2 linked regions of the Diceros bicornis minor genome follow. The protein of the gene in region 2 interacts with the protein of the main gene of each other region in a pairwise test. Links are inferred from orthologs where the notes say so. Each region holds a gene or a part of one and is shown on either strand. Other genes may lie near its edges. The genes, in order: EIF3E and RUNDC3A.

What was found.
Region 1: the proteins of RUNDC3A (region 2) and EIF3E interact in binary tests that used the Homo sapiens proteins (3 or more experiments, as listed by UniProt). The two-hybrid records come from large-scale screens. The link is inferred for Diceros bicornis minor from reciprocal best matches to the Homo sapiens genes RUNDC3A and EIF3E.

Annotation. Positions count from the first base shown.
Region 1 is NC_080760.1:25,649,237-25,664,263, forward strand, and holds the start of EIF3E (eukaryotic translation initiation factor 3 subunit E), read right to left. Parts: upstream 7,996-15,027; 5' UTR 7,979-7,995; coding exon 7,889-7,978; intron 2,993-7,888; coding exon 2,878-2,992; intron 1,226-2,877; coding exon 1,108-1,225; intron 1-1,107. UniProt on the Homo sapiens protein: Component of the eukaryotic translation initiation factor 3 (eIF-3) complex, which is required for several steps in the initiation of protein synthesis.
Region 2 is NC_080757.1:42,884,507-42,900,071, reverse strand, and holds the start of RUNDC3A (RUN domain-containing protein 3A), read right to left. Parts: upstream 6,939-15,565; 5' UTR 6,888-6,938; coding exon 6,781-6,887; intron 3,025-6,780; coding exon 2,909-3,024; intron 2,510-2,908; coding exon 2,376-2,509; intron 2,198-2,375; coding exon 2,112-2,197; intron 1,200-2,111; coding exon 1,110-1,199; intron 1,011-1,109; coding exon 930-1,010; intron 763-929; coding exon 597-762; intron 490-596; coding exon 332-489; intron 1-331. UniProt on the Homo sapiens protein: May act as an effector of RAP2A in neuronal cells.

The sequences.
Region 1 (15,027 bases), on a different chromosome or scaffold from region 2:
TAATCTAGCAAAATATACACACACACACACACACACACACACACACACACACAGAGCTATATATAAGATATATATGTGATAGCTTTGAAAGATATAGCTATCTATGTGTGTGCATGTGTATATATACATCTGTGTACACTTATGTAGCATAGTATGGTACATTACAGTATGGTGAAGTAATCATGTAGTATATACCGCTTTTCTAAATATCTAGTAACACTTACCCAAACCACAAATAAAAACTTAGAGCTAATTTCTCTAAAAATTTGGTTTGATCACATATCATAAGAACTAAAGTTACAACATGGCAAAATCTTCAATTCCTCTAGCAAATATATTGGTAGCTAAGATTTATCAAAATGACAATATTCAATTTTAGTAGAAGATTCTATTTTTAAACATTTCTTTAATAACCCAAAGGGCTTCAATTAGTAATATATATTAAGGCAGAGTGAGGCAATATGCTTTCTTTGGAAACCAAACAATAAGTCTATTTCTAGCTAAGGGGAAGTTAGGAATAAAATAACCTTATCGGCTCTACACTACCCTCCTTGGGCTGGGCATCGAGGTTGGAAAGATACGAGAGAACGTAGCAAAGTGATAAAACGAGCTCAGGTTTCCCTTACAGCAAACAACCCATGTGCTCCAGGTATTGCCAAGGTACCGGGTTTCTCAATCTGAGTACTACTGACATTTTGGGTTGGATAACTCTTTTTTGGGACTAGGGTACTGTCTGATGCATTGTAGGATATTTAGCAGCATTCCTGGTCTCTCCTCACTAGGTGCCAGCAGCACCCCTCCCATTGTGACAACCAAAAATGTCTCCTGACATTGTCGAATGTCCCCTGGGAAGGGGGGAAAAGGGTGGAACTGCTCCTGCATAGTCAGATTTGGGTAACCGGTAAGAAGTTTGAAAAAAAATTTAGTATTAACTTTTATTATTAAGGAATTCCTGGTCCCTACACAATAAAGACAAATGAAAATAAACACATAAATTGATCATTTAAACCACAAACTTCTACAAGGGGACACTAGATAAAGTTTGAATTAACATTTGTATTAATCCAGGAAAGAGAATTTTTAGAACTCAAATTAAAGAGAGGTTACCTGGTTGACTGCATTTGCCTTGTAGTTTCTGGATCTTCAAACATCTTCACAATTGGTTCCGTTTCTGCCTGAAGTTGTTTCAGTTGTGCGACAACTGTAGTTCTTTTTTCTCTCAAAGCTAATTAAAAATGCAAAGGAGTACTATGATGTTAAACTATACTGCTCACCGTGAAGATGTCTCTGGAAAATTTTCAATTTATTTCAATTGTGCAAATATTTATTTACCCCCAATTTTTCACATGCCAGGAACCACCAATTCAGTAACTCCCCCAGATCCAATTTTTTCTTTCTAGCACCGCAAAGGCACGGAAAGGAAGAGGGAATCCTCTTCTTGCTCTGACAGGAAATGGGGGAATATATAGATGGAAGGGGGCGGGGGAGACCTGCAGGCTGTACAGGAAACATTTATCTAATTCTACATTTCAGAGACTTCATTCTCAGTGTTTTCACTGAATTTTCTCAGGTGAATATTATCCCAGAGTTGCTGAACAGAGGCTCAGAGGAGTTTACATATTATTACCACAGGTTTTCAATGAGGTTGAATGCAATTTAAATCCAGTCAATAATCTCTCTTTTCACTATAAATTTGGTTCTCTAATCTCTCAAACCCAATTCTATAGGGAAAACTTGCATATAACCTACCCTGCTAGCATGCTTTAAAAGTTTCACTGAGAAATAGTTCACTTTTTCCTCACAAACTAAAATTTAAAGAGCTACTGTTACTGTAGGGAACTGTAATATAAATCAAAAAGGTGATTATGTTCAATGTAATAAATTCTGCATTATACATTAGAAAGTATATACTAGTACAGTGTTTCTCAAACACAGAGGGGATCTGTAACTAAATACTGAGAAATGTCAATTTAAACAAAGTAAATTGTATCTCTCTACTCAAAAAGTTCTTAGAATCTTTAAAAATACTCTATGCATAAAAGAAATGATATACTAGAATTTTCCAAACTTATGGGACCACTTTTTTTTAAAGGAACATCTACTATCATAGAAAACAAGGATTTGGAAAACACTGTACCACAATAGTTCTCCAATTTGAATGCTGGGCCTCAGCCAATAGTTTCCCATTAAGCAGATCTAGGGTATGGCTGGAGAATTTGTAGTTCTAACAAGCTCTCCCAGGTGAACTGATGATGACGGTGTTGGGAACCATAATTTTGAGAATCGTGGCTATACCTAGATGCTTCAAGATGAAAAAGATATCTCTAAGGCACACAAGATGCTAACTGAAAAAGTTAGCAAACCAAACCCTGCAACATTCTCGAATAATTCTAAGGAAACAATCTGATTCATAAGCACAACTTTGATCATACATACTATGAACTGAAGGTACTTGATGGCCATGTTTTAAAGAGGTTTCACACCTTTTGCCATGAGAAAACAATATACTTTAGAAGACCTATAACCTTCATATTACCTTTCATCCAAAGAACTTTTTACAGTCAAGTGTCACTTAACGACCGGGATATGCTCTGAGAAATGCGTCGTTAGGCAATTTCATCATTGTATGAACATCAGAGAGTGTACTTACACAAATCTAGACGGTATAGCCTACCACCTAGGCTATATAATACTAATCTTAAGAGACCAACGTCATATACTCAGTCTGTCATTGACTGAGACATTGTTATGTGGCGCATGAATGTAATCATTCAAATAATTAAGACTTCTGACTAAAGCTCTGTTATAAATCACAAAATTTTAATACACAGAAACTTGGTTAACAAGACAAGCTTCAGTTCTAATGACAAAACTTACCATGAGGAATATCATCAGAATAAAGGTTTTTGTATACATCCATAGCAAAGTCTACCATGTTGGTATCACTAAGAAGATCCAATTTCCCTTGTAATAATTCTTTTTCATTATATATCTGCAAGAGAAAATTACTTTCTAATAAATATATTGAAGTTCCCCCAAATAAACTGATTAATAGTAAGATTAGTCTACCTGGAAATATACTTTCTGAAATACTGTTTTTTAATATAATCTTATATACTATTAATTTACCCTCTTGTAAGAAGGCAAGCAATCAGCCTACAGAGACAGAAGAATATTTTGTTTACCTAATAATTGAAAAATGAAGGCAATTATACACTTCAAAGCCATTCTTATCTACCCCTGATTTATATCATTTTTTATGTGTCCCTATAAGCCATCTTTTATCCTTTCTAGAACAAGGCTGTGCATAAACACACAACCATACCAACTCCACTGGTAAGCAACTACACTTGTATCTTCTCCACATCCAGGTAATCAGGAATCAACTCAAATTTTTTACCTTCTTAGTATCTCTTACATCTACACGATGCCTACTCATCTCTTCTCAAAGTGGCCTCTCCTTTACCCCCACGTATTTTTTCACTAGTTAATGATTTTTTATAATACTTCCCCATCTACACCCCTGAAACAAAACTAGCACCTATTCTGTAAGATAACCACGTCATATCAGGTTTTTGTTTTGCAGGGAGTTCAAGAAATATAATTTAACCCATAGTAGAGGTACCATATAGATACATAAGCAAACTCACATAAACATGAAGTTAAGTGTATTGAGCAATATGTAAGGATTCTACACAATAATATTCAGGGAGAGATCATAATCAAAATAAAAAAATTTTATCAGTCATCAAGATAAAGCTTCAGCAAAAGAAAAAATTTTTGTACTTAATTTTGCCAAGGAAAGAAAAATGCAGGAGATTCCACATTTCACCACCCATGAAAAGAAAAGCTGAAGGTGGTCAAATGGTACAGCCATGAGATCAAAACTGACGTTCCAAACTACAAAAAGAACTCCTATAAAATAGTAAGAAAAGAGAGAGAATCCAATTGAAAGTGGCCAAACGATTTTAATAGGCACTTCACAAGAGTAGTATAACCAAATGGCCAATAAACACCCAAAAAGGTTCTTAACTTCATTAATCACAAAGGAAATGCAAACGAAAACCACACCAAAAACTAAAAAAATGGACAATACTAGTGTTGGTATAGATGTAGAGTAACTGAACACTTAACTCTGCTGGCAGAAGTCAAACCACTTTGGGAAACTGTTTTTATCTCCGAAAGCTAAACATACTTTTTGACCCAGCAATTCTGTTCCTAGGTACTCAAGAGAAATGAGTATATATATTCAAAGAAAATTTCCAAGAATGGTCATAGCAGCACTATTCATAATAGCCAAGTCTATCAATATTAGAATGGATAAACTGTCCTATACAATGGTTTAACATTCAGCGTTGAAAATCAATGAACTACTGCTATCCTAACAACTTGGATGACTCAATGTTGAATGAAAGAAGTCATACAAAGCAGTATATGATGGTGAATGATTAATTTCTTTTATATAAAATTAAAAACTAATCTATCATCTAGTGCTTACCTTTGGGAAGAGCGAATAATGACTAAGAGGGGTCTGAAGGAAGGTTTTTAGAATGTTTGTAACGTTTTACTTATTGATCTGGATGGTGGTCACACAGTGTGTTCACTCTGAAAAAAGCATTTATACTTATGCACTTTTCCGCATGAATGTTATACTTGATAAAAAGCTTACTTAAAAGAATTGAAGTTTTCTTTCAGTTGCCCTACAGAAACCCTAACTTTAGGTGAAAACATCCTTTTCCTAGCATGCCACGTCCCCTCAGCACCCCATTAATAGCTTTTAATTTGTAATGTGCCTCCCAAGTGTAAATACAAAGCATTGCTCCTCTGCCATTACACTTTATTGGCCTCTTCTTAAATCTACATCTGCTTATAACACCCTCTCTAAATTCTGCCTCATAGGCACACTTATTCTATAAAAGGCAGATAGTAAATATTTTAGGCTTTGTGAGCCAAAGAGCAAAAATCAAGGATACTATATATAAGTACCATAAGAAAGAAACAAATTTCCACAATTTCTTTTCTTTTTTAAATAAAGAATATAAAGATTATAATGGAGTAAAATTTTTTGTAATATAGATTACTAATGAAAAGAATGGAATTCTTTTTGGGCAGGAAATATTTCACTTAACTGGGGTACAAAGTTAGTGTTCTCTAATTGAAAATGTTTCCAAATGTTCATCTGTTAAAAATTATTTTTAGCATACAGACCACACAAAACAGGGAGAGAGGGCTATATTTGGTTCACAAGCTATATAGTTTGCCAACCCCTGGTCTATCAACCTCTTGCAAACAGCTCCTACTTTTTAAGAGGTCTTTTGACATCCCTTCCTGCTGTCATCCTCCACAAATCCAACATCTATACTGATGATTCTTTAAAAACTCAAGCCTTAAAATTCCTTTATCCCACAAAGTACAACTTTCATCCAGTACTTCATCTCTAAGATTTTCAACTTAAATTCATCACCTCTTCCACCATTACCATTAAAGTGCTTCCTCAGCCTCACCATACCCTCTGCTCTCATTTTTATATCACCCTTTTTGGTTGTCACTTTCTACATTAGTTTGGATATCATTTTTAGCTATTCAAAGATTTTCTCTTTAGCAGTTGCATTGATTCCATCCATTTTCTTCAACCAAATACAATTCAATATCGATCTCTAGCTCTGGAAAAAAGTTATCTTTTTCCTACGTTCTGTTTTAGGACCAATATAAAATATCTCAAAACTAGGCAATAATGTTATTCAATCACAAATGTGCTTTTCTCTGCTGATCAGCAACCCTTCTCATTAATCTCTAAATGACATTTATCTACAAGCCTTCTCACTGAGAATGAGCATCGTAAGCTCTATAAATCTATGATTTCCAATCTCACTAAATCATTAAAAGCCTTTATGCCAGACTCTATTTTCTGTGCTGAGAACACAGCAGAGAACAAAGTTCCTGCTCTCATAGAACTTATATTCTGCAATATACTACAAATATAACAAATTGTTAGTCTCATGTATCATGGTCACTGACTATCAACTCAACTTAAAGCCTCTCCTCCTCAAAATTTTTTGCCCACTGAATGAAGAATCTCCCTCAATTCTGACAGCACTCTGCCAGTACTTCTCTGACATTTACTACCTGCCTTATAATAATAATCTTTTATCTCCTGTAAAGAATAGGTCAGTTTTTTAGTGGTGAGATGTCTGCGTTTTATCTTGGATTTCTCACAATTCCATGGTAGCCCTATACTTAGCAGTTTTTAAATAAATAGTCTAGTATCTGTCTTCGTCTTGGCATATCACAGCCATCTTATCACATTCTCTCTAAGGAGGCAGGTATTGGGCACAGTTATTTTCCACTGCTTCTCAGCTGCCTTTCATAGTTTTGGTCCTGTCCCATGAAAAACTAATTTACACTTACATATTCCTCCCTTTCGTCTGTCTGCCTTGAAAAACGAAAGTGTAAAGAACAAAATACAAAAATATGAAGTTTGGCTAGTTCAGAAGCATTTCTACAAGTAGGTGGCAAAGAATTTCTAAATATGGTATTTTTTTATTCCTTGATCTTTGGTGAATTATCCTCACTTATCCAGAAAAGGAAACAGAATGCAGACTGGACTGTTTTATTCAAGCTCTAAAATATACATGTAAGTACATCCTATACAAAGAAAAATCAAGGCAAAAACACATCCTTTCAAGATAAAGCTTTATATGGCAAGATATTCTTGAACGATTACTGAAAATGAACTTAGCTACTCCCTAACAACAAGTTTAGAGTTGTCTAAATTTTTAGAAAAGCTTCGTATGAATTTGAGGATTATACTTGTCTAATGAACCATAACTTCCAGGAAGACTTAAAAAGTTATCAGAACAATTTAACGCTTATTTGTATGGCTTTTTCGTTTTATTGTTGCTGGGACACACAAAATCTATTCCTCAAATCTAGAGTTCTCTAAGCAGACTTGTGTTCTAAGTCTACGCTTAACTTCACTTAATTTCTACACTTTTAATTTGTAATGTGTCTCCCAAGTATAAATACACTTGTATTCATTCATTTTTCTGGCCGATATCTTAATCCCTTCATCATAGTAATATTACTTTAATTAAAATGCATTCATTTCCCAATAAACTCAAGGTATAACTAAGCCCAGTATTTCAAAACTTTTAGGACTGACACGTTTTAAAATGAGGTATCAGAACCACATACTTATTCAAGATACTTGAGTAGCTAAACGAACGTTCACAATCAATTCAAATCGCTCGAAATGTGTATATGTATACACTGGAAAACTTTTAGCTTAAAAATTGTCGAGGTGTTTTTTTGGAGGTCCTTGTCTCCATCCGACAAAATATGCTACGTTTCTAGGAAGTGGCTAAAGAAAACTCAATGAAAACAACTCACAACCTTATGGAAATGAACGTGTTAAATATTTCATTCAAGTGTAAGAAAATTATCCAAACGATCCGGCAAGCAAAAGCACAAAGCCAAGTACAGCCTGCCCACAGTACCCGAAATAAAACCCAAAATCTCTCACACTCGAATTTGCTTTTAGAAGCCGGCCTGAAGTAAGGCTCAAGCGTTACTACAGCGAAGCCTGCGAGTCGTCAACTTCCCAGAGGACAAGACGCGGAAGTACCTCGGGTCCTGGCACCTCAAGAAGACCTCTTTCTCTCCTAAGTTTCATACTGTCCCTTCACCCTGTTCCGGCCGAATTCCGCGGTGTTAATCAACCGGGACGACAGTAAACTACCAGTAGGTCCTTACAGTTTGGTCCGACCTGGGATCAAACTCGCGGCTGCCTCACACGTGTGTCAGGCCTAGGGTTACCGCCACCGCCTTTCGGCCTTGCCCCGCATCTCACGCGCTCCCACGCCTTCCTCGCGCTCAAAGCCCTCCTCACCTCCTTTACGGAGAGAAACTCAAGCAACGGAAAGACTAGATGCCGATCCAAAAAGTGCGCGATGCGAGTAGTCAAGTCGTACTCCGCCATCTTGCCAAGGAAAAGAGTAGTTTGTTCTCACTAAAACTTTATTGGTAGAATCGACAGACGGACAGGGCCCGTACTGCGCATGTGCAGTGGTTAAACTAGCCATGAGAAAGGGGCGGGGTTCAGCCTGGAGCGCTCTGAGAACAATGGCGCATGCGCGCGGCTTTTCCGTTCTTCTGAGCAATTCTAGGGCGCGGCGAAGAGGTCGGCACACTTTCTTCTGTTTGCAAGTTGATGAGTGTCGTGCTATGCATTCCGTTAATAAATATTGAAAACTCAGAATTGATTGCTGCGGCAATGTCGATTGCATTGAGATGCGGCAGAGGACAAGATAATAAGGCTCCTGCTCTCCAGGAAGTTACATACAGGGAGAAATATGAGCTTTTATTTGGCATACAATAATCGTTTTGTAAGCGTTTGTTAAATTAAGGTGGGATGGGTTTCTAGACAGAAAACAAGTGAAATAATTTCGGATTATACTAAGAGCCATAACGTGGTGGAGTGGTCGGATTGGGCTTTTTTGATTAGGGTGGTTAGAGAAAACTCAGGGTAACTAAAAATTTAGCTGAGAATTGTAGTAAGAGAAGGAGGTGACCAATTAAAGCCTGGGTAAAAACCAAGTTTTTTAATGCCTGGTGGAAGGCACAGCAAAGTCAAAGTCCATGAGACAGGAAAAGACTTATGTTTCAAAAAGTGAGTATCCTGTGTGATTGGAAAGTGAGGTTAAAGACGTTGAGAAGGGCCAGGTCATGATTAAGGTAAGGAATGGGGATCTTATTCGAAGTGCTCTGAAGTCTTCTTTAATAGTTCCTTCTGTTCTTGGACCTCTTCTCTATCTAGGCCAATGCCCTAAGTGATATCATTCAGCCTAATGGCTTTAAATGCAATCTACACATTGACAACTCCCAGATTATAGCCGCAACACAGGCTATCAGTTAACTGCAGATTCACATATGTCCAACATCTCAACGTTAACATGTCCACAGCCAAACTCCCCAAAGTGGCTGTTCAAAACCTGCTCCTTTCATACTCTTCTCCACCTCTGTGAATGCCAACTCCATCTGTCCAGTTGCTCAGGCCCAAAACCTTGGAGTCATCCCTGACTTTTCTCTTTCTCTTACACTCTACGTTGAATCCACCAACAAATCCTTTGGTTCTGACCTTTGAAACATATCCTGATCCAATCAGTTCACACCACCTCCAAAGTTAATCCCTAGTCCAAACCACCATCTCTTGCTTTGATTTTTAGAATAGCCTCTTCACTAATCACCTTGCTTCCCCCTCTTTTCCTTCAATGGTTTATTCTCCATACAGCAGTCAGAGTGACTTTTAAAAGTCAAATTATGCTCAAAACCCTCCAAGCCTTGTTATCTCACTCAGAGTAAAAGATGTAAGTCTTATAATGGCCTAAAAAGTCCTAGATCATCTGGACTCATTACCTCTCTGACCTCATCTTCATTTCCTCCACTTGCTCACTCTACGCCAGTCCTAAGCAACCACTAATCGACTTTCTGTCTCTATAGATTTCCCTATTCACAACTTTCATATGAATGGAATCATATAATATGTGGCCTTTTTTCACTTTGCATAATGTTTTCAGGTTTATCCAAGTTGTAGCATGTATCAGAACTTCATTTCTTTTTATGGCGGAATAATATTTCATCATATGGATATACCACAAATTGTTTACCCATTCATCTGTTGATGGACATTTGGGTTGTTTCTACCTTTTGGCTACTATGAATAATACTGCTGTAAACTTTCATGTACACATTTTTATGTGGACATGTTTTCATTTCTCTTGTGTGTATACCCAGAGGCGGAATTACTGGGCTGCATGGTAACTCTGTATTTAATCCCTTGAGGAACTGCCAACCTGTACTGTAACTTTGCAGAATGTTACCACTGGGGGAAACTGGGTAAAGGGTATATGGAATCTGCCTGTATTATTTCTTACATCTGCATGTGAATACTATCTCAGAGTAAAAGTTTGTTTTAAAAAATGATTCCTAGACTTTGAACTTAAGAAACTGGATACCTACTGGTGACTTCTGAGGGGAGAATGGCCAAGAAATATGTATGGGTGCTAAAATCAGGAACTGTGGTTCAGACAGAATAAGATTCCTATTAGATATCCCAGTGGTGATGTTAATATGCAAATAGAGATACTATTCTGGATCAGTTGATATAGTTGTTAATCACTTACCAGGCATGTGACCTTGTACTGGATGTTTTCAAGGATTTGTGAGTATGATATGATCTCTGCCATCGTGCCATTTACAGTATTTTTGGGAAAGCAAGGCTGAATTCCCATGAATCAGAGAATACATGATAGTATAGGCTGCTAAATTGTGGGGGATAGTCTTTGTAGCCGCTAAGAGTTGAGAAATGATAGTCGTAATTTGAAGTTTCCTGGAAGCCCAGAGACTAAAGTTGTAATAGAATATAGACAGGAAAAGGGGAAGTTAAAAAGACAAATAGCAAGAACTGAGGCTTCCAGCAGAAATGGGCTGCAGAGGAAGGAAGGAAGCAGGTGGCAGTATGGAAACTTGCCAAAGAGGAACAGAGAGCATTTCTGAGAAGCAGAGAAAAATAAGATGCAATTCAATTTGTCCAACATTTTAAACTTTTATCATATGCCAAGTACTAAGCTAGGTGTAATGGGAATATAGGATCAATAAGAGCTAGTCCCTGGTCACAGAAGCTTTCAAGTAGGTGACAATTATTCATTCATTTATACAATATGAATTGAATACTTACACTGTGCTAAGCACTTTTCTAGGTCCTGGGAATACAGCAGTAAAGAAAACAAACTACCTTATCTAAAGAAGCTTATATTCAAGTGGAAGGAGACAGATAAAGCGTATTAACAAATATATACTTTGTCAGGTGGTGATAAATGCTATGAAGAACAATATGCAAGGCAAAAGTTAGAGAATGATGGGAAAAGGTTGCTAATTTATATGAAGTGATCAGGGAAGGCCTCTCTGACGAGGTAGAATTTGAAAAGAGACCTGAAAGAGGTGAGGCAGTTTTGTGGCTCTCTAGAGGAAGAAAATTCTAGGTGAAGGAATATTAAGTATAAAGATGCTGAAGCAAAAGTGTGCTTGGTGTGCTTGAGGAATAGCAAGAAAACTAGAAATTCAAGAGCTGATGGAGCAAGACGAAGTATGGCAGAAGATAAGTTCAGAGAGGGAGTGGTGGACCAGTTGACAATGCTTTGTAGGCCACAGTAAGGACTTGGGGTTGTATTCTGAATGAGGTAGGAAGCTATTGGAGGATTTTGAGCAAGAAGTCACATAATCAGAGATATGCTTTAAAAAGACCACTTTGAAGGTTTGGGAGAGGTTGGGCAGACGAGCATATACACAGAGAGACCAGTCAAGAGACTATTGAAATAATTCAAGGAAGAGATGATGGTGGCTTAGATGAGAGTGGTAGCATTGAAAGAGTTGTGGACAGTAGTGAAATTCTGAATATATTTTGAATGCAGAGCTAGCAAAATTTGCTAATGGATTGGATGAGAAAGAGAAAGGTCAAAGATGACTCTAAGGTCTAGAAGAAGTGAGAGGTCTTTTTTAGTAAGAAGAGGAATGGTGCGATAGATGCATGTTGTAGAGAGGAGAGAAATCAAGAGTTTAGTTTTGGACGTATTATGTTTGGGATGCCTGTTAGACATAGACTGATCTCCTGTGTGGAGATACTGATTAGACAGTGGTACATAAGAATCTGAAATTCAGGAGAAAGTTAAGAGCTGAAAATAGAAAACTAGATCTTGTCAACGTATTGATGAAATTTGAAATAATGGGACTGAATGAGAGTGTGAGTGTGTCTGGAAAAGAGATGAGGAGGGCTAAATCTTAGACGCTTCAACTTGTAGAGGTTGAGACAATTCAGATCAAGTAAAGAAGGTGGAGAAGGCCTGGCCACTAAGTGGAGGGAGAAGAGGAGCAAAAGAAAGTGGTGTCCCAGGCGTCAAAGGAGGAGAGTAGTCAAAGCAGCAAGGAGTAATGAACCATGTCAAATGGTGCTGTTAGTTCAAGATGATAGGACTGAGTATTGCCCTTTGGCTTTGGAAAATATGCAGGTTATCAATGACCTTCATAAGAGCAGGTTCAGTGAATGGGGGATAAAAATCTGTCTGGTGTGAGCTCAGAAGATGAGAGGAGACAAAATGAAACAACATATATATACAGATCTTTTGAGGAATTTTACTAGAAAGGGAAGCAGTGAAATGGAGTGATAGATGTGAGGTCTAGGGAGAGTGTTTTAAAAGATGTGTGAATGCTGATAGACATGATAGAATACTTATATAAATAACTGTATTGAAAGGATAGAGTGTTATGAGAAGCTATAGGGAATATAGAAAGAGCATGGAGTCCCAATCAGCCTGGCCCCAAACAGAGATTGATTCTCAATGAGGGTAGAGAAAATGGAGAAAGCCTGGTGGATTGGATTTGAGACTGCTGACTTTTACAACAGATGTGGAAGAGAGCACTGCAGGTGGTTCAGGAACAAGTCAAACACTGTAGAGACACAAAAACAGGAAAATGTAAGAAATATTTAAGAAAGACAACTTGGGAAGTTAGCCAAAGATTGAAGACTCTAGGGGGATATATGCCAGAAAAGGAAGACCAGGGCCAAATAGTAGAAAGCTTAAGTGAGGAATTTGAAATTTATCTGAGGTCATGAGGATCCTTAAAGTATTTTTGAGCATGAGAGTAAATAATCCTATCTGTGTGTCAGGAAGGTAATTCTGACAGTTGTGTGGACAGTGGATTGGGTAGGTGAAATGCAGCCAGGCTGTGGAAGGTCTTCAAAACCAGACTGGGAAACTTGGATTTGATCAGATAGGCAATGGGAGCCACTCATTAAGTTCTTAAATAAAAAAAGACATGAAGACAGTGGTGTTTTGTCCTTTAAAATTAAACTGGAAGTGATTTACAAGATGGATTAAAGTGGTGACAGATTGGAAACTCTGCTGATTTGCCTGGCTTTTCCCCTGGAATTTTCCTTGCTGGTTTGTGAAAATATCTTATTTCTTTTTATAAGAGAGATTTTGCCCCAAATATGGAAAATCTGACTTTCTTGCATTAGACTTTTCCTAGTATTTCAGTTAAAAAGAGATATTACAGAGGACGGACAGGCAAGGCCTCACCTGGTAGTATGTAGGTGGTATCAGGTGAAGCCTTTGATTCTCGTACATTCATCAAATATTGATTGAATGTTTTCTATTTGCTGATCACCCTGTCAGCCTCTGGGGAAACAAAGAAAGGAAACCAATCCCAGCCCGCAAGGAGCTTACGGTTTAGTGGGGGTGGCAAGCATATAAAATGTAAAATAATCATAGCACAAGGTGAGTGTCTATGCACAGAGTGCTCCTGGGCGTCCAGGGGGAGCATGTGTGATGTCGAGTGGCGGGACATGAGTCTGCATTGAGGGGTCAGGGCTGAATTGTCAAGGGCGCTGTGGACTGTGCTGAGGAGTTTGAATTCTATCCTGCAGGCTAATTTTCCTGGTGACTTTTTTTTTGAGGAAGATTCTCCCGGAGCTAACATCCGCTGCCAATCTTCCTCTTTATTTATTTATTTATTTATTTATTTATTTATTTATTTATTTATTTATTTATTTTTCTGCTTGAGGAAGATTAGCCCTGAGCTAACATCTGTGCCAGTCTTCCTCCACTTTGTACGTGGGACACCGCCACAGCATGGCTGGTGAGTGGAGCAGGTCCACACCTGGGATCCGAACCTGGGAACCCTGGCCACCTAAGCAGAGTGCGTGGAACTTTAACCACTTGACCATGGGGCCAGGCCCAACCTGGTGACTCTTTTAACGTCTCCCTTCGCCATACCCTCCCCTATCTTTCTAATTCAGGCTCTGATCATCTCTCACACAGATTACTGCATTAGTCTTCCAAAGGGTCTCCCTGTCACTGGTCCTGCACCCCTCTAATGTGCCCTCCACCCTGCTGTCTAGGTGATCAGAATGCACATCTAATCCTGTTATAGGCTGAATTGTGGCCCCCACCAAATTCGTATGTTAAAGTCCTAATCCCCAGTACCTCAGAATGTAACTGTATCTGGAGATAGGGTTTTTAAAGAGGTAATTAGGTTAAACTGAGGTCGTTAGGTGAGCTCTAATCCAATATGACTGGTGTCCTTATAAGAGGAGCAGATTTAGGACGTAGACATGTACAGAGGAAAGACCATGTGAAGATGCAGGGTGAAGATGGCCATCCACAAGCCAAGGAGAGAGGCCTTCGAAGAATCAACCCTGCCAACACCTTGATCTTGGACTTCTAGCCTCCAGAATTGTAAGAAAATAATTTTCTGTTGTTTAAGCCACCCAATCTATGGTACTTTGTTATGGCAGCCCTAGAAAACTAATACACTTTGCACTTCCTATGTCATATAGTATAAAGTCAAAACTTTTTAGCACACAGTATAAAGTTCTTTAGCACTTGATCTCTCCAGAACCCTACACTCCTTCCACACTAAGCTTTGCTCAAACAAGCCAAGTTTATTATTTTTTTACTTGCTCTCCAGCAGCTTCTTCTAAAATGTCCTTCTGCCCCCTCCAACCCTGTTGACCACCTTTTCACTTTTTAAGACTCAGATGAAGCATCATCTTCACTATTGTGTTTCCCATTAGCAGAGCATATCTGAAGTAATCACTTTCTCCTTCTGCCCCTCTCTTCTCACAGCATACTTTTATCTCAGAGCCTATAGCATTGTAGCTCACTTTTTTTTTTACATGTTTGTTTCCTCCTGTTAGACTGTAAACATCTTGAGTATAAGTATAAACATCTTGATATCTATGAATATCTGTCTTTATAGTCTCAATTCCTGTCTTAGTACCTGACATATAACAAGTACTTGATAAATGCTCTAGAAATGAATAAATGTGCATAGAGCTTTCATATCCAGACCTACGTGTTCTTGAAAGAAATTCATCCATATTTTGGAATACTCTAATGAATACCTATCGCTACTACTGTAGTGGACACATTTTTCGAATGCTCATGTCTCCTGATTCATAGCTCTCTTAGA
Region 2 (15,565 bases):
GAGTAACATTAGAGGTCCTTGCAAGTAATGTTGGGGTCCCTGGGTAATGTTGATGGCCATTCTAGCTGATGTCGGGTGACTGAGGGTGAAGTGGGGAGCCGGTTTTGCGGGGGTCACTGGATCTTATGCTGAGGATAACGTTAGAAGATCACTGGGGGGACCATGGGGTGGAGGTGATGGGATGGGTGGTTTAATGCTGGCGGTTGGCTGCGTTCAATGCTGGTATTAGGAAAGGTGATGTTAAGAGTCAATGGGGGCGGTGGTGGGGGTTCCCTGGGATGATGTGGTCGGGGTGGCCGGGGTCAAGGGTCAGGGCGGCGGTGGCGCTCACAGCTGCTCCTGCAGCTCCAGGATCACGCCTTCCAGCTCCCGCTTCTCGCGCTGGTTCTGCGCCGCCGCCTCTTCCAGCTGCAGCTGCAGCCGCCGGTTCTCCGCCTCAAGGTCCTTCAGCTGCGACTCGCGCAGACGCACCAGCTCCTCCAGGTAGCCCTGCGGGGCGCCGGCTCAGCCCGGGCGGCGGGAGGAGGGGTCCCAGCGGCCGCCCGGCCCGTGCCCGCCCTGCCCAGCGCCTCGCACCGCCGCCGCGCCCCGCGCACCTTCTGCGCGTAGACGATGCGGAACTTCTGTTCCATCTTGTGCCACTTGCTGTACCAGCTGTCCTCGTCGGTGACGAGCGGCAGGTACGGGTGCTCGGGCGAGTTGTCCTCGCTCGTGCTGCTCTCGGCGCTGTGCCGCTCCTCCTCGTCCGTCAGGTAGTCGTAGCTTGGGGGAGGGAGCAGTGGGCACCGCCGGCCCTGCCCCGCCCGCGGGTCCCACGCCAGCCCGCTTGGGCAGGGGGACCAGGAGGCCCTCCCAGCCTGCCTCCCTCCCGCCATCCCCGCCCGCGGGGAGGTGGGCTGTCCGCTCCACCGCAACAATGGGCCGCTGACCTCTGGGTGAACTTTAGGTAGGGCGTGTAGTCGATGACCACGGGGGTCTTCCCGTCCAGCACTTCGCCCTTTAGGCAGAAGCTGGGGGCAGACGAACCACAGGGTTAGGGCGGATATGAGGGAATGGGAGTGTGGACATTCGCGGAGAAACAGCCCCCCAACCGCCACCGCTGCCCCCACCTGAAGTCTATGGCGCTCAGTCCGATCAGCATCCCCGTGAGGACCGTGGCTTCCTCCCGCAGCATGATGGCTCCCGAGTCATAGAAACGCCTGTGGGAGGTGGGGGGGACGACTGATGGTGCAGCCTCCTCCCGGGGAGCCCCCACCTGCTGGGACTTCTCTTGTTGGCTTGCTACAAACTTTTCCTAGAGAAAGGAGGTGTCCCCTTCCTGCTCACCCCTCAGCTGTGGATCTTGTCTCCCCCTCCGACTGGGGCTCACTGGGGATAGCGTCTGTATCTCCCACCTATTAGAACGGGTGTCCCCTGAGAATAGACTCTCCTTCATCCTCTCAGCTAGCGCTTCCCCACCAAGTACTGGGTCACCCAGATTCTTAAAATCAGGAAACAAGTTCTAATCATTAGTGCTTAGCATACAGCAGGTGCTCAAAAATATGTTGATGTGAACTCTGCAATGTGAGGACAGAGGTCAATGCAGTAAAACATCAGGTTGGGTGTGAACACTGGTGGGGGGCACAATGCCCCCTATAGTACTCAGCTTCAAACTCACCGTCCCCCACTGGCACATCCTGCCTGTGACCTGCCCCCAGGACCCAATCTCTCTGCAAACCCTCGGTGCAGGAACCGAAGCTCGACACGCTGGGACTCTATATTCCATGGGTGGCAAGTACAGACGGCTGCCATTGTTTGGGGAGCAGGTAGGGCTGTGTGTTGTAGGTCATGGAACAAGACCAACCGGTAAAATGATACATAGTTGAGGCTTGTCCAGAGGTGTGTATGAGACCGGTTCTGGGGAGTGATGGGGGATAATGAATTTGACTTGGAAGAGATGGTGGCGATGCTAAAGGTATGTTCCAGGACTGTAGGTCAGGCTGGGGAGGGAAACTAGCAGTGCATGCTGGGAGTTGTAGTCCAGGTACTGCAGGAACTTAAGGATGAAGTGTGTTTAGGCTAAGAACGTTCTCACTGGCACCTGTGGTCCAAGCTAATTGAGAGGGACTGACCTGGTGGTCCGGGTGTCCCGCAGAGCTGTGGTGATGTATTCCGACATGCGCTTCTCCATCAGTGCCACCCGGATCCATGCACGGCCCTGGAAAGTACACTCACCTTTATTTGCTGCCCCGAAGGGACCCACGTGTGCGCCATTGGGTCTGGACCTCCTGTGGCCCTTCTCCCCAGTGCCCGTGGGCAGGGGTGAGGACCAAGGAGCATGCAGTATCCAGAGCAGGGAGCAGCTGCCCTGGCCCTGCCTGTCGCAGGCCCCTCACCTTGGCTCGGGCTGTGCTGATGTTCTCCATGTTCTCGATGCTGCTCACGCAGTTGTTGGGCACTTTGCTGCAGGCCAGCCGGATATAGTCCCAGAAGCCCCGCTGCCCGTCTGAGCTGAACCAGCTCACCGGACCTGCTGGGGCACAGGCTGAGCCAGGGCAGGGAGGGGGCTCAGAAAGACCAGGGAGTTTGGAGAGGGTCCGTGTAACGGGGCACACACATGCGTAAGTATATTCAGCCATGCACGCACACAGTGCCTACCCCAAATGCATGTACACACATATGCATGTACACCAAGGGCACGCCAGCACAACACTACATGCCCATTGATGGGGTGTGTGGGCACCCACTATGTTGTGCCCAGAAGACCTTTTCCCCTCTTCCCAGCTCTGTGCATCAGCTTCTGCGCATGGCCCAGAATTGGGGTCAGGGTCAATGATGGGGTTCAGAACCACATCAGAGTGAGGTTGCTGGAAACTAAAGGCTGGGAGTTGGTGGGGCTGGGCCACAGGGGACAGGAACCTGGACCCACCTTTGAAACGGTGGCTGAGGATCTGCTCTAAGATGGCTGCAAAATTTACAAACTCCTCGGATGAGTCATCGATGGGCTCCGCTGTGTACTTCTCCAACAGTGTTTTCACAGAGAACCTGGGGAGGGGTGAGAAGGGGCAGTAGGGTATCAGGCAAGAAGACAGAGTGATGGTGGTAGAGGAAGGGCATCAGGCAAAGAGAGGGAGTGAAGGGCAGAGAGGAGGTCATGAAGAGCATGGATATGGTGGGGAGGCAGAGGGAGAGAGGGTGGGAGACAGATGAGAACATAGTGACCATGGAGGTGCTGTGACATGGGAGTGATAGGGTGGCAAGTGGGAGACTGATTGATAAAGTGGGTGACAGGAGAGGTGACACCCAGAGAAAGGAAGCTTCAGGAACACGGTATGAGAGGGGATAAAACAGTAGGTAAAAAGATGAAGCACTTAGAGCCAGGGGCCTGTCCCAGAGCCCCTTCCTCTGTGCCCACCCTCGGAGTTGCATTTTCTCTGTGTGTGGGCTGAGGGTCAGGTAGGAGTTAGAAGCCAGTTTGGGCTCCTGCCTTGAGCTGTCTTCTGCTATTGCTGGGACAACTTTCAGTCCCTTTTGGGATGGGGGGGTCACCTGTGCCAGGGCATGTGAGTTGGCACATGGAGCGTGGGCATGCATGGGTGGCCAGGTGGGCTCTCAGCACACAGATGCCCCCTTCCCCCTTTTCCTTCCTAGCTCAGCCGCCCACACAGCAGCTGCCCAGAACCAGGCGGTGCAGAGCTGGGCGGGGGGAGGTGCAGGGTGTGGGGCTGACACACACGGTGGGAGGGGACACTGGCAGCAGATCTCTGGAAGGGGGCTTGGGGGCCCAGACACCTGGCTTCTCAGAGAGGAAGGCAGCCAAGGGAAGCCAATGAGGCTGAGGGACTGGAGCCCAGCAGCCCCTGTCCCTCTCTCCAGTCCTTCTCGAAGCCTTGGCTCCCTCTGCAATCTCTCCCCTGCAATCTGCACCTGTCATCGCTGCAGTAGGGTGAGGCAGGGATGAGGACACGGCTCCCAACACCCCAATATTGCCCTATTGTGAGTGGCAGAGCAAGGGTTGGGTGTCCAGGGATGTGGGGGCTGCTTGGAACTATCCTTTTTTCCCTAAGTTTATCAAGCCCTGTAATGTGCCGAGCACAATACTTTGCGTGTATTATCTACTGCATCTCACAACAGCCCCGGGTGGTAGGTCCTCTTATTATCGCCATCATCCCCATCTTACAGATAAAGTAACTGAGGGTCCAAGAGGTTGACTCATCTGTTCAGAGTAACACAGCTTGTGAGGAGTCAAGTAGGTACGTTTGATTCCAAAGTTGTTGCTCTTTCTGCTACATCTTGTGGCCTCCTGGTGGCTGTCACGATTACCAAGGCCGCGAGCAGCCCCTGCCACTTCCGCCCTCTGTCCTCCACTCTGCAGGATCCAGCCCTTGAGCACTGGCCTCTGAGGCTCTCAGGCCAATGCCACAGCTGAGCCCACGGAGCTCCCTCCCTTTCCTTTGGGCTTAGAGTTGGTCTGGCCTGAGATCAGATCTAGATCAGTGTTGGGGTTACCCTAGGGGGAGGCAGCCTGGTGGACTCAAATCCTGTTTCCTTGTGATACCTGTGTGGCCTTGAACAAGTCATTTAATCTCTCTGAGGCCCATTTCCCAGGTGCAAACAGGAATAATAGTATCTGCCTCATTAAATTTTGGTTCAGATCCCAGGAAGGACTGGGAGAAGGTGAGTGTGTACAGGTCATTGGGCAGCGGTGGTGAGGAGCTGGGCATTAATGGGAAGGTCAGCCCTGCCAGAAGGAGCCTGTGTTTAGGGCATTATCTGGGCTTCAGTATGAAGCCTGCCCCCCACCCCCATGATTTCTTCTGGTCATCTGGGTCAGACCTCAGTGGGGGCCTGGGGCTGGTATCAAGATTGCAGCCGTCTGCCATCTGTCCTCAGGGATGCTGCAGAGCTGGTCATCGCCCCTGGGAGCCCCATGGCGTGCTCCCTGTTAGGAGGTACAGTGGCTGCTGCAGGTTACCATGGAGACAGGGAGGCGAGGGCCCCGTGGAGCCCTCAGCCTGCTAAAGGGAACTGTTCTGGGAGCTGGAGGCAAACCACGTGACAGTGACGAGGCGCAGGGGCCTGAGGGGTTTCTGAGCCATTGCCACACCTCCTTCCCCCCGCCAAAGCTCTTATCCTCACACCCCAGTTCTAAGCTCACTTCCAATCCACCAGAACCTCTGCTTCTCCAGCCTAGACCAAGAAGAGATCCCCCTTCCCCACACACTCAAGAGGCCCAGCTGTCCTGGGAGGCAAGAGAAAGAAGCGGAACCTAGGAGGTCAAGAGAGAGGAGAAGGACAGGAAGGGTGTCATCAGGATGGGGCTATTTTCATGTACCAGGCACTGGGCTAGGCTCCTAGGTGGATTATGTCATTACCATTCCTTGGTGTGGCTGTTACATACCCCATCTACAATGGGGATAATAGGGCACCCAAGGCCCAGAGTGGTTAGGAGACTTCCCCAAGGTTGCACAGCTAATAACTAATGAAGTAAGAGTTTGAACCTAGGACCATCTGGCCCCAAAGGCAGAAACCTTTGTTTTATACCACACTGGCAGTGTTTGAGGGGGTGAGGGTGGAGGGAGTGGCCTGCACTTTGGGCTGGGCCATTGCTGTATTCATGTCTTCTATAACATTCCAGGCATTTTACAGAGATCTGATGTGCTCAGCACTGTGCTGGGCAGTAGGGATATAATGGTGTGCGACAGACGCAGTATGGTTGGGTGTGTGCCCAGGAACCTGGGAGGAGCTAGAGGAGCCAGGAGCCAGGGCATCAGGTGGGCACTGATTCCTGGGGGAAGGAGCAGGGCCAGGGCCTGTGTGCAGGCAGGTGGGGCTGGCAAGGGAAGACAGCTGAGCCCTGCACTGGGAACACCCTGCCCTCAGAGGTGGCATGGGGGGTGGGGAGGTTGCAGGTGGAGAAGGCAGCTGGCATGGGGATCCTAGAGGGAGAGATGAGTGCAGGTGGGGGCTGAAGGAGAGTGTCTGAGCCACTGGCCATTCCTGGCTTAGGGCAGGGCAGAGAGGGTGAGTCACTGCAGGGCTAAAGTGGGAAAGTTCACTTCCTGGGCCCCAAGAAAAGTGGGTGAATCTTCCCAACACTGCGACAGCCCCACCCTCAGGGACCAATGGCCCTGCCCTCCCAGTCTCCTCCCCTTGAGCCCAGGAGACCCAGGCTTCTGTGATCAGGCCCTCAGTCCTTCCCACGGCAGGGAAGCGCCCCTCACCCTTCACTGGATGGATTAAAGGGCTTTGTCCACATGCCCCAGTTGACTCTGCCACAGGCTGCATGCCCAGAGATGGAGGAGGACACCATCTCTGCTCCAGTATTTGAGCGTCGGAAAATCTCCCAGGAAAGCCCCACCCCGGAGAGGCCAGGCTGACAGGACTGGGAGTGAGGGTATGCTTGGAGGGCGTTCATCTCCTTACTCCATCAGTTCTCTCCTGCCCACTCTGCCTCTGCCCACCCCGCCCCCAGCAAGGGAGCCAGCCATCGCCGCCCCTTCCCCCTCACGCACAATGTCACTTCCTGGTTCTCACAGGAAGCTGCAGTGCCAATTAAACACCCCTCACCCCCCAGGCCCCAGGCTGGGCATAGGCCTGGCTTGGCCTAGAAGGATAGAGACCAGACCTCCAAACCCCCTCCCTGTCTGGGCCTGAGAGGGACAGTGGACGTGCTCCTCTTAACCCTGTGCTTCCTCCCTTGTCTCCGCGGTTGCTGTGCATCCTCCCTCAGTCCAGGTTTCCGCAGCCCTCCCCGACGCCTCTCCGACCGCCCCACCCCCGCCCGCCAGCGGCGCCCACCTGCACACGGTGATCAGGTTCCGACGCTCCACGGCCACATTGCGGGAAGACGCTTTCTTGGAGGACAGCCCCAGAGCCATGGTGGTCTGGACAAAGCTCGCTTCCATTCAGATGTGCGGCCACTGCTGCCTCCGCCAGCTGCCCCCCACCACGCCCGGCGCCCCGGCCCCCCGCCGGATCACGGCTGAGCCCTCTGACCGCCGGGGTCCCTCGATCCCTCCACGGCCATCCCCCTGCCCCTGCGCCCGATGCCCGGCCCCCTGGCTCCCTCCCCCGGCGGCGGTACCTGAGCAAAACAAGGCCGGGGAGGGAGCTCTCCGAGGTGCTGAGCCGGGGCCCGTCGCCCCCCTCCCCCAGCCGCCCGCCCCCCTCGACCCGTGACGTCGGGGCCCTCGGGCCCCGCCCCCAGGCAGGCCGGGGACCAATCCGCAGAGGGGGCAGGATTTAGGGGGGAGGGGAGCGGACCGGGGCCCCAGGGAGGGCGGAGGGGGTCCCTGGAAGAGGCAGCGATTGGAAGGAGGGAGAGGGCATCTGGTCTGTCCACCCCACACTCAAGGCCCGGACCCCTCGCCTCGCGTCTCTGAGCTCTGACGCCTCTCCTCCCTTGTTTCTGACCTGTGATCGGTGGTGTCTCTCAGATTTCTCCCCCTGCTGCCTGGGGAATGGGGTCCTCACCTCCAATACCCTCATTCCAGCCCCGCCCCCCACCCATTTTATGGCCAGGACGCGAGGCCAAGGCCAGGTGTGCATCCGGAGAGCACAGGTGGCCTTACGCTGCTGACCTAGGAGGCCAAAGAGCAGTCAGAGACACTGCGTATTTGTCTGCACCAGCCGGCGAGTCAACGCCTCCTGGGGTGGGGGATGGGAATCTAGGATAAGCCGGAGGAGCCCAGCCCCTGGAACCACTCAGGACAGTGAGTGGAGAAGAGACTGGCAGCTCAGGGCCTGGGCGCTGTGGTGGTTCCCAGCAGTAGAGCTGGTGCCCACGAAACTGGAAGGGATGGAGCCGAGGCACTGCTTCCCCTCAGTCCTACCTCACTGCCCACGGGCAGCCGCCTAAGGGTTAACCCCTTGGCTGCCAGCATTGCTGCATAGTGCCATCAACCCTCTGCAGGGCCAGGAGGGCCCTGCAAAGTTGGTTACATCTTTTACAGGAAGTTGGGGAAATGGAGGCACAGTCTGGCTTTTCGGCTGCCTTTTGCCTCCCAGTTGCTCTCTCACATTCCAGCTCCCACCTGCTCCGTTCTTCTGTTCAACCTGTTCTCTTTCACCCACTGAAATCCCCAGCTCCTACAGAAAGCCTTTCTGTGTTGATTAAAGGGGCTCCACTTGATTTCTCCATCTGACCTCAGGAATGCCCATCCCAGGGCTCAGTTCATATCTATTCACTGACTCTGCCCACCTACTGGATTTACTCTACTCTGTTAGTATGGTCAATACTCTGCTAGGATGGTCAATGCACCCACGTCTGAATGTGACCAGCAGGCAGGGACCCTCTGTTAGCACAAACAGAGGAGGAGGAGATGAAAGACTCATAGAAGTTCCCAGCCCTGGTCTGATTCCCTGGGTGCTGTGGAGAAGGTCCTGACTCCTAGCACAGATCTCATGCTCACTCAGCCTCAGCTTCACTTCTTGGCCTCTGGGACCTCAGACTTGATTTTTTCAGTCCCTCCTCTGCCCTTTCCCTTTCCCTCTTGCCTCACCTGTAGAAGCCCCTCTTGTCATCCTCCTGCCTCCAGACTCATAGCCAGTAGCAATCATGATGCTCTTTTGTGTGTGTGTGTGAGGAAGATCAGCCCTGAGCAAACATCTGATGCCAATCCTCCTCTTTTTGCTGAGGAAGATTGGCCCAGAGCTATCATCCGTGCCCATCTTCCTCTATTTTATATGGGATGCCGCCACAGCATGACTTGACAAGCAGTGAGTTGGTGCATGCCCAGGATCCGAATCGCCAAACCCCAGACCATCGCAGCGGAGCACCCGCACTGAACCGCTTGTGCCACTGGCCAGGCCCCATTCTTTTGTTTTTCAATTGCGAGATACATCATATGCACAGAAGAGCACATAGAACACATATGTGCTATTTAAAGAATATTTACAAAGCAAACACCTGTGTCATCACCGCAAAGATCAAGAAATAGAATATTATGAACACCCCAGGACCTCCTGTATGCTTCTCCCAGATCTCATCTTCGTCCATCCCCCTAAGAGATAACCACTAGCCTGATATTTGTGATAGTCTTTCCTTGCTCTTCTTTATAGTTTTATCATCTACATGTCCATCAATAAAAAATATAGTTTAATGTTGCCAGTGTTTAGACTTTGTAGAAATGGAGTCATACTGTATGATTCAGTTGTGATTTGCTTCTTTCAAGATTATGTTAGGGAGAGTCATTTTCCTTGTATACTATTCCCATGTGTGTCTCTATCACAACTTATCTATTCTACCATTGATGGTAATCAGACAGGATAGTCAGAAAAGCAGAAACCACGTTATGTATTTCAATTAGAGGGGATTTAATATAGGGAATTGGTTACACAGGAGTTGGAATTCTAAAAGAGCAAAAAGAGAACGAGAACACTGAGACAGCATGGAACTAGTAACTAAAGGAAGCAGCCAAGGGTGAGGGAGCAAAAGGGAAGAGATGGGGTTACCACACCCTGGGGGCACAGAGATGGGGCCCTGCAGAGTTGGGGCTCAGACTTGGGCAGAGCCACCAGCAGGCTGCTGCTCTTTCCTCAGAGGAGCCATCTCCAAAGCTGGTTCTCAGAATGCAGAAAGAAGCTGAAGGCTAGAGCCAACTTCCAGTGATAGGGTGACTCTGAACAAAACCAAAAAAATGGGGAGATAGTCTCTTCTCCTTTCCTCTTGCCTTCCATCTCCCTCTAGTGCCTCCTCTTAGCAGAACCTAACAGAAAGCCAGTTAGTAATGGAGTCTGGGAAACAAGTTTGCAGAGTCCCAGCCCCACCCAGCCCAGCGTCTGAGAGCAGAGACACGAAGAATGGATTTGGAGCAGAAAGTCAAGAAGTATTTACTGGCACAGTCTACTCCTTTTTCTGTTCAGCATTTACACACACCTTTCTATGCATATTTGAACAGTAACAACTTAACAACTTCATGCCTTTGCCTAACAGGATGCAATTGTCCTTTGCACGAATGAAGATGCTCAGGCGCCCTCCCCCAAAGTGGAGATGCAAAGTCTTTGCAGTAACAGTATCCATCTCTGGGTGATGCTGGTATCTCTCCGAGTTCAGCCACATTTCCTCCAGGATTCTTTAACCTAAGACTAAATTATAAAGTTCACTACCAGCAACAGTCCTTATATAAAGTAATAAAGGAAAGAAAGGAGGGGGAAGTTAATTAATATACAGAATATATAATACAAAACAAGCAAGCAAGAAAATACCCATAGCTTCTACAATCTTTATTTCTATAACTTGTCAGACGTTGATATTTATACCTTCTTCATCCATTACTCATTTCATTTCACTTTGCCCTTAGTCAGCACCTCGGTTTATTGGTTTGTTTTATTTTTAACCAGGTCAGGTGACCAAACCTTCATTCTTGAAGAATCTAAATGCTCAGAATTGGGTTGCTATCATTTTTCTTTAATTTTTACCATTTTTACCATGGAAGAAGGAAGAGGCATACCAGAGAATCCCGTGGGTTCCAGACCTAGTCCTCCCTGCCTTCATTGTGCAGCTGCAACCCAGTTTCCCCTTGGTATTTGGGATCAGTCATCCCTGAAGTTAACTCCCTTGTTTGCTCTGAGCCCAGGTGAGAATGTAACTTCCAGTTCAGTGGAACCATTGCTGTATCTCCGGGTGAAAGGATTCCTCCCGTGGTGTAGTAGATGCTGTCAGTGCCCCTCCCATAGTCCTTGAGCTCTTGGGTACACTGGATGAAGTCCCAACTGCCAGAAACTGCAACTCTTTCCCTGAGAGCTCTCTCTGGCCACTGGAGCCTGCACTATCCAAACGCTGGGCAGTCTGAAAGTTCTGGGAAGTTGTATTCCCATCCATAGCAACCCTCAGCCAATAACTGATGGGGATGGGGGGATAAATACCCCAGCTCCCTCATCCTTCAAGTGGGGTGGTCCTGAGGCTCACATTATTGCTGGGTCCCTGAGACCTCCAGCAGGATGAAGTTCCAGTTCTCCACACTCCTAACTTGCTCTATAGCACATCCTTTATTGGCCTCCTCTCCTTCCCTGTGTCGCTTTCCCACTTGCTTGCTGGTGATTCCTAGCATTATTTCTCAAATACTTACATTTGAATCTTTGATTCAGGTTCTACATCTAGGAGGAACGCCCCAAAATACAGTTGGTATCTGAAGTGGTCTTAGGAAGCAGACCGCTAGGATAGGATTCTGGAACTGGATCACTCACCATCCAGATGGCAATGAGGATTCCATTGCTGAGGTAAGTGGGGTGCTGATACCCAATGGAGTGCTGCACCATCATGGTTACTAACACTTTCACCATGGTGAAGACAAGGATGCACTGCCTGTGCAGATCTCTAGTATTTGAGATGTAAGAGAGAAATAGTAATTATAAGGATTGAGGAGTTGGTCAGTTGTTGTTAAATGCCATCAAAATGCTAAAAGATAAAAATGACAGACTCACATCAGTCAACTCTCAACTCAAGCTACAGTGTAACAGCCAGGAGGCCTCATTGGCAGCGTTTAAGGAAACTCATCTGTAGCCTGTGCAGGGCAGACTGTGCTGAAAGTCAGTGCTATTATCTGACTGTGAGAGTAGCAGGATGATATATTTAAAGCGCAGCAAGTCAGGGCCCTGATAGAGAAAGAGTAGGACCCTGAAATCTGGTATGGGAACATCTGTTCTGGAATCCCCAGATTTTCCTGAACCCGTTGGGCCAGCAGAAGTGCCCTCTCCCCCTTGGTGGAAGAGAGCAGACTCTCCTTGCCTGGATAACATGCAAAGTCCTCACCTGAGGCAGATGCCTCACAAGATGATACTTGCCCTCTTCAAGATGTGACCCTGACCCCCTCCATGATTCTAGACCAATAACTATGGTCAAGTCTCATCATGGACCATGTGGGAAAGCAGTATCCCAGCTATGGTGAGAAAGGTATTATTTACCAAAAGAGCTCCAGGATCCTGCTAACATGTACCAGCAGAAATTGGGAGAACATGCTCGGGAACGGATCTTGAGAGTGACAGACTGGGGTTAGAGGGTGGACTATAAGGCTGGATAATGGCTGGAATACTCTACCATGACTAAGGACTTAACATTTTAAAGGCTTGGCAAGGACATCTGAAGCCAGTTGCAATACGCCACTTTAGTGGCGTTTAGGAAAGTTTAGGAAAAACTATGCATTACAGCAAAGGAGGTGGAGATGTTGAAACTTCCTTGGCAGAGTACTGGGGAATGAGTCAAAAGGCTCAGAGGGGTGGGCTTACCAGAATGAAATTATTATTATATAAGACCAGAGAACCCTCCAGATTACTGTGTTCCTCATGAGAGCCCAGAGAAACTCCCTTCAATAAAGTGATAAGAAATGTGCTTGCTGTTGGAGGGCCACCGGCATCATTTGCAGCTCAGTAGTGGCCATCCTCTGTGGAACAGAGTTGATAGTAGCGGAAGCTGCTATGGTACTGGGCTTCCTAGAGTTAATGGGTATGACAGGAGTCCAGAACAGAGGCCAAATGATGGCACTACTCATCAGAATCAAGGTGGACATAATGACCAGAATGGACAGAAAGACCAAAATGGCAAGCTGGGATCTACAGTGATGGTCAATAGACTGTGGTCTCCCTAGGTAGGTGGACAGCCAATGAGGGTATTTCTTGGCTTATGTAGCCAAAAGGAGCAAGAATGAGTGAGCAGAAGGCTGACACCACTGCAAAGGAAATTCACAATCCCTCATCCATTTCCAGACCTAAACCATTTTTCAGCTGCAGAGCCCATTGGTTGAAGGGGAGGCCAGTTCCCTTCGGGAATAATCTTGCAATGCCACAGCAAGCTTATATGATAGTAATTATCTCACTCCTCCCCCAATGTACTTACAGCCATTTATCAGAGCGGTTGTACACTGGGAGAGGGGGATACCCAGATCTTTTAAGGCTTTTGAATACAGGATCGGAGCTGACACTGATAACAGGGGACCGAAATGCCGTCATGACACGTATTAGAATGGGGCTACAGAGGCCAGGTGATGAAAGGAGACCTGGGAAAGTCCATCCCATAGTGGGTCCAATAGGTTCACAGACTCACCTGGTGGTTATTTCCCTGGTCCCTGAATCCATAATTGGAATAGATGTACTTAACAGCCAGCAGAACTCTCACATTGGTTTCCTGAATTAAGAGCCTTCAGAGTAGGAGAGGCCCAGTGGAAACTCCCCCCTACCTCTGCCAAGATAGTAAATCAGAAGCAATATCCCATCCCAGGTGGAATGACAGTAATTATAGTCACCCACAAAGGATGCAGGAGTGGTGGGACCCATTATATCTCCATTTAACTCATCAGTCTGGCCCTTGGAAAAACCAGATGAATCATCATAGATGATGGAGAACGTAACCAAGTGGTAGCCCCATTTTAGCTGCTGGGCCAGGTGGTGGGATAGCTTTCCTAGACCAGATCAACATGCCCCTAACATTTAGTACATGACTATTAATTTGGTGAAAGAAAAAGGATTAGAACCTTATAAAAGTACACTTCCATTTCCTCTCTCCCTGACTTTAAATATTGTCATACATTTTATTTTAGTTGGCATTTCCATGCTTGTTAATGAGATTGAACATTTTTTCACATGCTTATTGGTCATTCGGGTTTTCTCTGCTGTGAAGTTCCTGTTCAAAGTATTTTGCTCATTTTCTCTTGGATTATCTTTTAATTGCTCTGTAGTAGTTCTTTATATATTCTAAATATGACTATTCTGTCACTTATATATACTAGAAATAGTTTCTCACGTTTTGTGGCTTGCTCCTCTTTGTGGAGTCTTTTCATGAATACAAATTCTTAATTTTAATATAAACAAATGTATCAAATTTTTTTTCTTTATGATAGATGTTTCTTGTCTCTTGTTTAAGAAATCTTCCATATTTTGAGTTTATGATGTATTTTCTTATATTACAAGAATTTTATAGTGTTATTTTACCTGAAAGTGTATAATTCACCTGGAGTAAGTTTTGTGTATGGTGTGAGGTGGAGGTCCAATTTCATTTTGCTTCAGCAACATTTTTTATTTATTTATTTATTTATTTATTTATTTACTTACTTACTTACTTACTTACTTATTTATTTATTTATTTATTTATTTATTTATTTATTTATTTAGTGAGGAAGATCAGCCCTGAGCTAACATCCATGCCAATCCTCCTCTTTTTGCTGAGGAAGACTGGCCCTGAGCTAATATCCTGCCGATCTTCCTCCACTCTATGTGGGACACCGCCACAGCGTGGCCTGACAAGCAGTGCAACGGTTCGTGCCTGGATGGGAACCCGGGCTGCCGGCAGTGGAGCACGCACACTTAACCGCTACGCCAGGGGGCCGGCCCCTATTATTATTTTCTAAAGTCCTTCGCCCACTACTTTGCAGTGACCTCTCTTTCAAAGCAAATATCCACACATGTGTGGGGCTAATTCTGGGCTCTATATTCTGCTCCAGTGGTCTCTTTGTCTATCCTTGCATCTAATCATAATGTCTTAAATATTAAAACTTCATAGTAAGTCTTGATCACTGGTAGGGCAAGTCTTCCTATCTTACTCTTCTTCAGGAGTATCTTGTTTTTTCTTGGCCCCTTGCATTTCCATAATAATTTTAGAATTAGATCGACAAGCACAACAAAAACAAACTCATCTTACTAGGATTTATGTTGGAATCGTGATTGCATTGAATCTATAGCTTGATTTGGATAGAACTGACATCTTTATAATCCTGAGTCTTCCGATCTTTGGACAGAGTATAGCTCTCTTTTATTTTTCTTGTCTTTAAAATTTGTCAATAAAATTTTATCATTTTCTCTGAAGAAGTCTTATACATATTTTGTTAGATTTATCCTAGGTTATTCATATGTTTTGTGCTATTTTAAAAGGTACCTTCTTAAAATTTTATTTTCTAATTCTTACTAGTATAAATAGCAATTGATTTTTTTTATTGTGTTAAAATATGTGTAACAAAATTTGCCATTTTAACCATTCTTAAGTGTACAATTCAGTGGCATTAATTACATTCACAATGTTGTGCAACCATTACCACTATTTCCAAGACGTTTTCATCGCCCTTCATCATACTGCTATGAACATTTGTGTACAAGCATCTGTTTGAGTCCTTGTTTTCAATTCTTTTGAATTGCCGTGTCATACGGTAATTCTATGTTTAACTTTTTGAGGAAGAGCCAAACTGTTTCTACAGTGGGTGAACCATTTTACATTCCCACCAGTAGTGTATGAGGGTTCCAATTTCTCCACAGCCTTACCAATGCTATTTTCCATTTTCTATAATAGCCATCCTAGTAGGTGTGAAGTGGTATCTCATTGTGGTCTTGATTTGCCTTTCCCTGATGACTGATGATGCTGAGTATTTTTTCATGTGTTTATTGGCCATTTGTATCTCTTTGGAGAAATGTTTATGTGAGTTTGACCATTTTTTAATTGGGTTGCAATTAATTTTTTGTTTTAAATTTAAATTAATAATTTGTTTTAATTGGGTTGCAATTAATTTTTAAGCTGATTCTGCTAATTTATTAAACATTTCTATAAATTGAAATAATTTATCTGTAGCTTCTTTTGGATTTTCTTGCCACACAATTAGGTCAT